2 linked regions of the Xenopus tropicalis genome follow. The protein of the gene in region 2 interacts with the protein of the main gene of each other region in a pairwise test. Links are inferred from orthologs where the notes say so. Each region holds a gene or a part of one and is shown on either strand. Other genes may lie near its edges.

Region 1 (4,520 bases), on a different chromosome or scaffold from region 2:
TTTCTGGATAATGGGTTTCCGAATAATGGATCCCATACATGTATCTGGAAAAAGTTGACTCAAAACTAAAACCTGCACAGGAGGTGTTAATACAATTGCTGAAGAACATATAAATCTCAGAGACATATACTATATGCACTGTTTTCTGTTCTATTTATGCAGATTTGCAGACCGTCCACAGCAAAATAAATACGCTTTACTTCTATACGGCAATGTGCTGTGTGAAAAGCAGCTCAACATTTCTGTGCTACTTTTGCACACTTATATATATGACATATCACAGGCCTTAAGACAGGGAAGCGTCTCATTATACAATATTTATTTCCTGCTATTTAGATTTATTTTATCTTATGGACAGACTGGGATTCACTCAGCAAAATATGCCAAAGGTATATACTAGAATTTGCCATACAAGACATTTCTCTATTATTATGTACTATAATAAAAGGCCACAGCTACAGGTTTTTAACAGCATTATTATACTAGGATGGGAGAGGTATGTGTCACCCTCATAGTGTTTCTATCAGTTTTGTTTTCCTTTTAGTAATCAAAATGAAAACCTGCAAAGCCCTTGCATAAAAAGAAAGTTTTCATCTAATGTATTATTAAAATGAAAACAACTTTGAAATATACCTCAGAGCTTAAGTGTATGATGATCTCTGCCTATTTATGAAAGTGTTCAATAACTAGAGTATAACGAAAAAAAAAAAAAAAATACGCATGCAGCTTATTTGGGGTTTCTGGAAAGGGGCTTTGAAAAGGCAGACTTACAGGAGAATGTTCAAAGTGTTGGGAAAAAAAAACAACCTATCCCGCCTAACAGGAAGTGACTGAATAAGCAAAACACAAATACAAAAAATAAAATGCAAGCATTTTTGTTTTTAACTTTATTGCATTTCAAGGGAAAAACAGCATTCTTATGGGGGGGAACCCTTTGAAATCCATCTATATGCACTGTAAAGTTTACTTGGTGTTTAAAAACATCTCTAAAGAAGTCTATAACTGTTTGCCATTAACCAAGAATATAAAACAGTATTCTAATTACTGAAATATTTAAGCCTTAAATTAAAATATCACAAATAAAGCCAAACTATGTTTGTCTGCATTCAAATTAAATCAATTAATATTTAAGCGATATCAGGTCACTTATAAATGTTAGAATTAACGAGCACACTAATATGTACCAACCCCCCTGAAGCCATGTTATAGGGTACCAGCAATGAAGTTTTAGCAAGTTTAATTGTGTGTAAATGAGTGCTTTGGGTATTCACATATTAGCCCCAAACGGACAAGCTAGAACTTGGGTCTCTAAATTGACCAATACAAATTACAGCTTTCTAGAACCTGGGGTCCTTAGCCCTCTACTTGGCAGAATGTTTGAGTACCACAAAAGTTGTGCTTTAATGCTTCCCTGCAATTACTAAGGTGATGTAGATTTCATACTTTTGAAGTCTAATCATACCTGACATACTTTAAATGCAGATCTGCATTAAGTAGACAATACTAAATAAAACAAAATGTAAAGATCTATTATAAACAAATTTTATTCTCACTGTCCAGATGTTTTCATCAAACAAAAAGTAATGAGCAAGCATGAGGGAAATAATGTGGAAGTTCAATAAGGGATTGCAGTGCAACAAAATATATGGACAAGAAAACCGTACCAGTCTTGGATGAAACATGGAAATCTCTGAAATGTTACAATCTTCATTTCTTCATGAAAAATGTGTCAAAATACATACACAGACTGCCAGAGAGACATTGGGGCCAATTCTGTTTTTAGAGCTTCAAACATTCAACACAGGATAAAAAAAACTGCAGAACAAGGGTCACATAAATATGAAGCTTTAAAAGCAGGATTAGTGGAACCTCCCTCTGGTAATCTTGGTCAAAGAGCTCACCCTCACCAGTCTACACTGACCCTTGATGCTGCTGTTACCCAACCAGTGGACAACTATTAAACCATGACTAGAAGGATGCCCGGGAGCTGGGGTAAGAATATACAGTAAAAAAATAAAAATATCTACCCATTGCTGCCAGAAGAGCAGACAGTTGGTGAACCCTGACGATCAGATATTTCAGGAACCCACTAACAATTCGAAATGAAGTCATGCTCAGCAAAAAGACCTGCCTGCTTTCCCTCTGTACCAACTAGCGAGCCACTCAAGTCCAACCTGCGGCCCTTCAGCTACTAATATGCAGCCCTCAGCTCATCCTGACAGGACCTTTAGTTCGACCCCGGCTGGAGTGCCGCAGGTAGGAGCATTGTTTATAAATAATAACCTAAGAGTCACGTTAAACTTTAAAAAGAAATTTAACTTTAAAAAGTAGTGTTAAAAAATATGGGAGGAAAAGAAGAATTCGTTCATCGCATCATGAATATTCCCCTTTGAATGAAGACTATATTGCGGGAAAACATGAACGATACTAGTCGCATGTATCTAACAAGCCACAAAAAAAAATATATATATACATACACACATATATAATATATATATATATATATATGTGTCGTGATAAGCACCGTTGACTGTCGCGACAGTGAAAGATTGCGGAGGTCTCCCCACCGGTGACCCCCTGTGGCTGTATCGCACACCCCAGCTCTTGCCGCCGCCGGCTGCCTCCTCCCGGCCGCCATTATCCTTTGTTTCGCGGCTCTTTATTTCACCCCCTCCGCACGGTCTCCATTTTTACTATGGCGGGGTAAACATTCTGTATTATCTAAGGGGGTAAAAAGGGGAACCATGACAGGCGGGAAAGCAAGCTCGAAGGAAAAGCCGGCGCGCTGTTCTTGGCAGCCCCCAGAAATCCCTCCCTACAATCAGTTGCCGCCTGGGTATTTGTGAAAGCAGCCGGCGGTGAGGCCTGCTCCATCTCTTTTCCTCCATGCCTCTCCCTCTCCTCCTCCTTCCTCTTACCGGGTTACACTGCCTCTCCTCCGTCACTGCTTTCGTTCGCGGCTGGGATCTCGCTGGGCTTTTTTTTATTCTCTTCCCCACCACGTAACACACCGCGTCAAACTACACCTCCGCCGCGTCACTGCTGCTCTTGCTCTCTCTTCTTCCTCTTGTGGTGGCGCTAGTTTTTTTTTTTCTTAAGCTCAGGCCCGGGCGCGGCGTCAGGGCGGCGGGCTCTTTTCCGACAGGACACTGAGGAAGGCCTCGACAGACTAGGCAGCCAACAGCAGAGGGCGGGGCGGAGCTAGCGCAGGGTGGAATCTGGGCAGGCGCAGAAGTTAGGCCTTAGTAAAACCTTTCTGCTGCAGTTGTACTACAGTTCCCAATACCCCTTTCCGACACTGTAAGCGGAAACCCGTGTATCTACTGATGCGACAACTTGCACAGGCTGCAGTAAAGCTACAGAGCTAACAGGCAGTTAAGGTTGGTGAGTGTGGGAATTATGAGAAACGGGCTTTGGTTACCCGCGGCGACCTTACCTGTGCTTTGGCTGCTTTGGCTGAATGAACAGTGCCGTTGTTGTGATTAAAGCTATCAGTTTAGTTTTCATGTTTTACAGGTTAGTCTGATAGTTTTATTACGATTCTAGAACAGATAACGTTACCCTGTCGCCCTTCTTCTTTTTAAATCGGAGCTGTTTCATGAAGTGCTTATGACGCTATAGTGTACTTGCCACCTTGAGTATTAGGTGGCCTGATGAAGGGGTTCGCCCCCGAAACGTTGCCTTGAATAAACACGCAGGGGTTATACCCCACTTGCACTTTACTTGTTGTGCCGGCTGAAATCATTTTTACTGGACTTTGCGGAGAGTGCGGACTCTCTGGGCCGTGCACCAAGTAGCTAACCTGTTGGAGGAGGTAAGGGTGTGCTGGTGTAACTATTTTTCCATTGCAACTTAAGGTTGCCATACGGGGCCAGATTTCAGATGCTAATTCTGTTCCTTAAGACCGACTCTGCAGCTTATTTGCCCCTGCATGGGACCCTCCGACAGAACCCCCCCAACAGATATCTGGCCAAAAATGATCCAGATGTTGATTGTACGTGCTTGATTTTTTGCAGGATCGGGGACTGCATTGGCTTATTGATGTGGTCCTTGATCTGGCTTTTCCTATCCCCTTCATTGCAATGTGATGGGGCACGATATCACCCACCCAAGGTAGGCATATCGGGTGAAAGATTTGCCCGTTTAGTGACCTTGCCATGTATGGCCAACTTTAAAGGAACAGTAACATCAAAATATGAAAGCATATTAAAGTAATTACAATATAATGCACTGTTGCCCTGCACTGGTATAACTGGTGTGTTTGCCTCAGAAAGACTATTATAGTTTATATAAGCAAAGCTGCTGTGTAGCCATGGGGGCAGCCATTCGAATGAGAAAAGGCACAGGTTACTTAGCAGATAACAGATAAAATGTGATTGTATTCTATAGAGTTTATTTGTTATCTGCTATGTAACCTGTGCCTTTTCTCCTTTTTTCCAGCTTGAATGGCTGCCCCCATGGCTACACAGCAGCTTATTTATATATAGACTATAGGAGCGTTCTGTAGCAAATACACCAGT
Region 2 (4,611 bases):
CTGAAATACCCCTGTTCTGTTCCAGCAGCCTGATTATTGGGTTGCGCTTACCCTTATCCCCTGTAATACTATCAATCACATAATTCTGCGGGTGTCTCGGGCTTACAGATCAGGAGCAGTTTCTAATGTAGGGGTTTAAATCTGATTCAACCAAAGTCCTTTATGTTTCACTGAAACAAATATACTATAAAAACAGAGGGATGTGCCAAATCCCAACCCCAAAAGACGTGACCCCAGAGCTGACACGCGTTTTGGGTTCTGTTAAATCTGTAAAACACAGAGCGCCAAATGAAGCAGGGCGTGGCTTCCCTATGCAGACTCCGCCCATTATAACCAGCAAATGGGGGGGGGGGGGGGGGTGAGAGTTTAGTGTATCTGCCATGCTGAAATAAAGACCCACGTGGAACCCCATGAAAATTCTGAGGAGACCTAAATGCAAAAGAGTCAGGGTGTTCTTGTTGCCACAAAGTCAGTTCCGGGGTATGGACTGGGGTATTAGAGGCAGTAGGCATTCTGCAACCATGCTTGGGGGCTACATATACCCCTGTACTGCTTCATACTCATACTTTGGGGTTTATAAATCCTTCATGGTTCCATTTCAGGGGCTGCTGGGAAATGGAACAACTAATGTACCAACTGTAACAGTTGCTATGGGTCAGACGTTAGTAACGCTCAGGGAGCATACTCAGTAGGGGCTGAAGGGGCTGCTGGGAAATGGACCAACTAATGGACCAACTGTAACAGTTGCTATGGGACAGGCATTAGTAACGCTCAGTGAGCATGCTCAGTAGGGGCTGAAGGGGTTGCTGGGAAATGGACCCACTAATGGACCAACTGTAACAGTTGCTATGGGACAGGCATTAGTAACGCTCAGTGAGCATGCTCAGTAGGGGCTGCAGGGAAATGGACCAACTAATGGACCAACTGTAACAGTTGCTATGGGACAGATGTTAGTAACGCTCAGGGAGCATGCTCAGTAGAGGCTGAAGGGGCTGCTGGGAAATGGACCAACTAATGGACCAACTGTAACAGTTGCTATGGGACAGGCATTAGTTATGCTCAGTGAGCACGCTCAGTAGGGGCTGAAGGGGCTTCTGGGAAATGGACCCACTAATGGACCAACTGTAACAGTTGCTATGGGACAGGCATTAGTAACGCTCAGTGAGCATGCTGAGTAGGGGCTGCAGGTAAATGGACCAACTAATGTACCAACTGTAACAGTTGCTATGGGACAGACGTTAGTAACGCTCAGGGAGCATGCTCAGTAGGGGCTGAAGGGGCTGCTGGGAAATTGACCAACTAATGTACCAACTGTAATAGTCCAACCAATAGTCCAACCTCCTACATACAGCGACAGAGCCGAGAGTCCAACAGTACCTTCTATTTGATCCCTGGACACGGAGAATTCAGCTGCAAGTTCTGCCTTTAATCCTAAAAACATCAAAAATAAATAGAAATCATTATTTCGCAATTATGGTTCATTTACAATAACCCAACAGAACTCGGCTCCCCGGTGCTCTGGGCCCAGCGCCCGGTACACATTGTGCAACTTCCAACGAAATTCCGTTTGGGGCTCAATTTGGTATGATCCGAGGGCAGAACAAGAACTTTGTGCCCAAAGGTAACCATGGTAACGACCCAGAGTTCCTATATCCCACAGGAGAGAATATATGGACACAAACGGAATGGACCTGCTGGTTTCCCTTTGGGCTAAACATTAATCTGTAACAATGGCCCCTTTATTGGAGCTCCCTATAGATCCTCTCAGGTCCCTGTCTGGGTTTCATATGAGGGGTGGGCGTGTCCCAACGGTCCCTGCCAGAAGCACAGTAGGAGTGGGAGAACCAATCACAAGCACAGACAGCCTTCGGGTCCCTATCAGGTCAGCCTAGCTGCTGATTGGTTCCTGTGCTAAGGTGAAGTGGGCGGGCCTGGGAAAGGAACCAGCAGGAAGTGGGACAGATGGGCGGGACTAGTGGAGTTTTATAAAGATATTTTCAATAAATACACCCAAAACACTACTTTTTAAAGCCCATTCCTTCTATAGGGAGATAAGTACAATTCATATGTTTTTTTCACGCAATATTTCCCCTTTAAACCCTAACAGGTTCCAATTTCATTGGCTAAAGCCGGAGATCACGGATTGGGCAACTGGATTCGCATAAATGCGGTTCTACGGCCACAGAGTGAAACCCGCGGGGCTGGGAATCCCTTCGGCCTGAGGAAGGGGGCAAATAAAGGCCCAAACGTTGGGCGCGCACATCTCTATGATATATATATATGGGCCAGTTGGCCAGTACATGACAGGGATAGCTGTGTGCATTCAGGCAGCCATATATATATATATATATATATATATATATATATATACACACAGAGTCAAACCCGCGGGGCTGGGAATCCTTGCGGCCTGAGGAAGGGGGCAAATAAAGGCCCAAACGTTGGGCGCGCACATCTCTATGATATATATATATATGGGCCAGTTGGCCAGTACATGACAGGGATAGCTGTGTGCATTCAGGCAGCCATATATATATATATACATACACAGCAATATAATAATAATATAGTTGTGCCTGAGGGGCCCCTTGGTGCTGCCATTGTCCCACCCCTCACTTGTGTGAGCCCCCCATTCCCCTTGGTGCTGTCCCACCCATGGGTGCTGATGCTTACACCCCACTACAGACTCACAGCAGGGAGCCCTCACCCCTACACCATGCTCCTCCTCACAAAATAATCCCCATGAAGCAACATGGAGGTGGAAGGTTACATTGTGGCCTGGACTCCCGCACCCCGACACTGCAGGGCCCCAGGGCCTACCCGTACATCCTTCCCGCCCACTCGGCCTCTTACCTCCTCCTACTGCCGCGCAGCCCCGTTCGCTCCCAGGCTCGGTCCCGCCCCGGGGTTCCCTCCCCCCGGTCACACCCGCCGGACACTAACCGCCAGCTGCGTACAAAGAGGGGAGAGCGGCGCGGAGGGACACGGGCCACACGGCGCGGATGGATACCGTGACTTCATTTCCTCCGCGTCTCCTGATTGGCTGCTTGCCTGAGGCGGTCCGTGACGTCACGGCTGCAAGGCCCTACCCTTGATGGAATAGACAGGGGCAGCAACAGTGTGAAATAACAATGGCTCAATGTGTTTTAATATGGCTGTCACTGCAACAATATGGCTGCTTCTGTCTTTAATCAATGGCCTCCTGCTTCCCTGTTAGTAGCAATATGGCTGCCTGTGTCAGTAATGAAAATATGAAATGGCCCAATGGCCCTATTTAAAATGGCTTCCACTTTAATATTGTGGCTGCTTGTGGTACTAATGACTGTGTGTAATAACAAAGGCCTTCTACTTCCCTATGTGTAGCAATATGGCTCCCCTGTCATTAATAACTAAAAATAACAATGGTCCAATTTAATATGGCTGTCAGTGTCATAATATGGCTGCTTGTGTCAATAATAGTGTTTAATAACAGTGTCTTCCTGTGTGTAGCAATATGGCTGCCTGTGTCACTAGTAACTGTGTGTAGTAACTGTGTGTAATAACAGTGTACTATGTGTGTCAGTGTGTCATTAGAAAGTCTGTCATAACAATCTTTCTGTGTGTAGCAATATGGCTGCCAGTGTCACTAATAACTATGTAGAATAATAATTGTCCAATGGCTGTTTAATATGGCTGTCAGTGTAACAATATGGCTGCTTCTGTCTTTAATTACTGTCATATCAATGGCCTCCTGCTTCCCTGTTAGTAGCAATATGGCTGCCTGTGTCATTAATGAAAATATGAAATGGCCCAATGGCTATTTAATATGGCTTCCACTTTAATAATGAGGCTGCTTGTGGTACTAATGACTGTGTGTAATAACAATGGCCTTCTACTTCCCTATGTGTAGCAATATGGCTCCCCTGTCATTAATAACTGTAAAAATAACAATGGTCCAATTTAATATGGCTGTCAGTGTCATAATATGGCTACTTGTGTCAATAATAGTGTTTAATAACAGTGTCTTCCTGTGTGTAGCAATATGGCTGCCTGTGTCACTAGTAACTGTGTGTAATAACAGTGTAATATGTGTGTCAGTGTGTCATTAGAAAGTCTTTCATAACAATCTTTCTGTGTGTAGCAATATTGCTGCCAGTGTCACTAATAACTATGTAGAATAATAATTGTCCAATGGCTATTTAATATGGCTGTCAGTGTAACAATATGGCTGCTTCTGTCTTTAATTACTGTCATATCAATGGCCTCCTGCTTCCCTGTTAGTAGCAATATGGCTGCCTGTGTCATTAATGAAAATATGAAATGGCCCAATGGCCCTATTTAAAGGAACAGTAACACCAAAAAATGAAAGTGTATAAAAGTAACTAAAATATAATCTGCTGCTGCTCTGCACTGGTAAAAGTTGTGTGTTTACTTCAGAAAGTCTACTATAATTTATATAAATAAGCTGCTGTGTAGTATGGGGGCAGCCATTCAAAGGAGAAAAGGCACAGGCACATAGCAGATAACAGATAAAACACTATTGTATTCTACAGAACTTGTGTGTTATCTGCTATGTAACCTGTGCCTTTTCTCCTTTTTTCCAGCTTGAATGGCTGCCCCCGGGGCTACACA

What was found.
Region 1: the proteins of pogz (region 2) and creb1 interact in a two-hybrid assay, tested with the Homo sapiens proteins (2 studies listed by BioGRID and IntAct). The link is inferred for Xenopus tropicalis from reciprocal best matches to the Homo sapiens genes POGZ and CREB1.

The regions. Positions count from the first base shown.
Region 1 is NC_030685.2:49,782,829-49,787,348, forward strand, and holds the start of creb1 (cyclic AMP-responsive element-binding protein 1), read right to left. Parts: upstream 3,053-4,520; 5' UTR 2,919-3,052; intron 1-2,918.
Region 2 is NC_030684.2:144,795,254-144,799,864, reverse strand, and holds the start of pogz (pogo transposable element with ZNF domain), read right to left. Parts: upstream 3,062-4,611; 5' UTR 2,854-3,061; intron 2,730-2,853; exon of another isoform or gene 2,708-2,729; intron 1,432-2,707; 5' UTR 1,378-1,431; intron 1-1,377. UniProt on the Homo sapiens protein: Plays a role in mitotic cell cycle progression and is involved in kinetochore assembly and mitotic sister chromatid cohesion.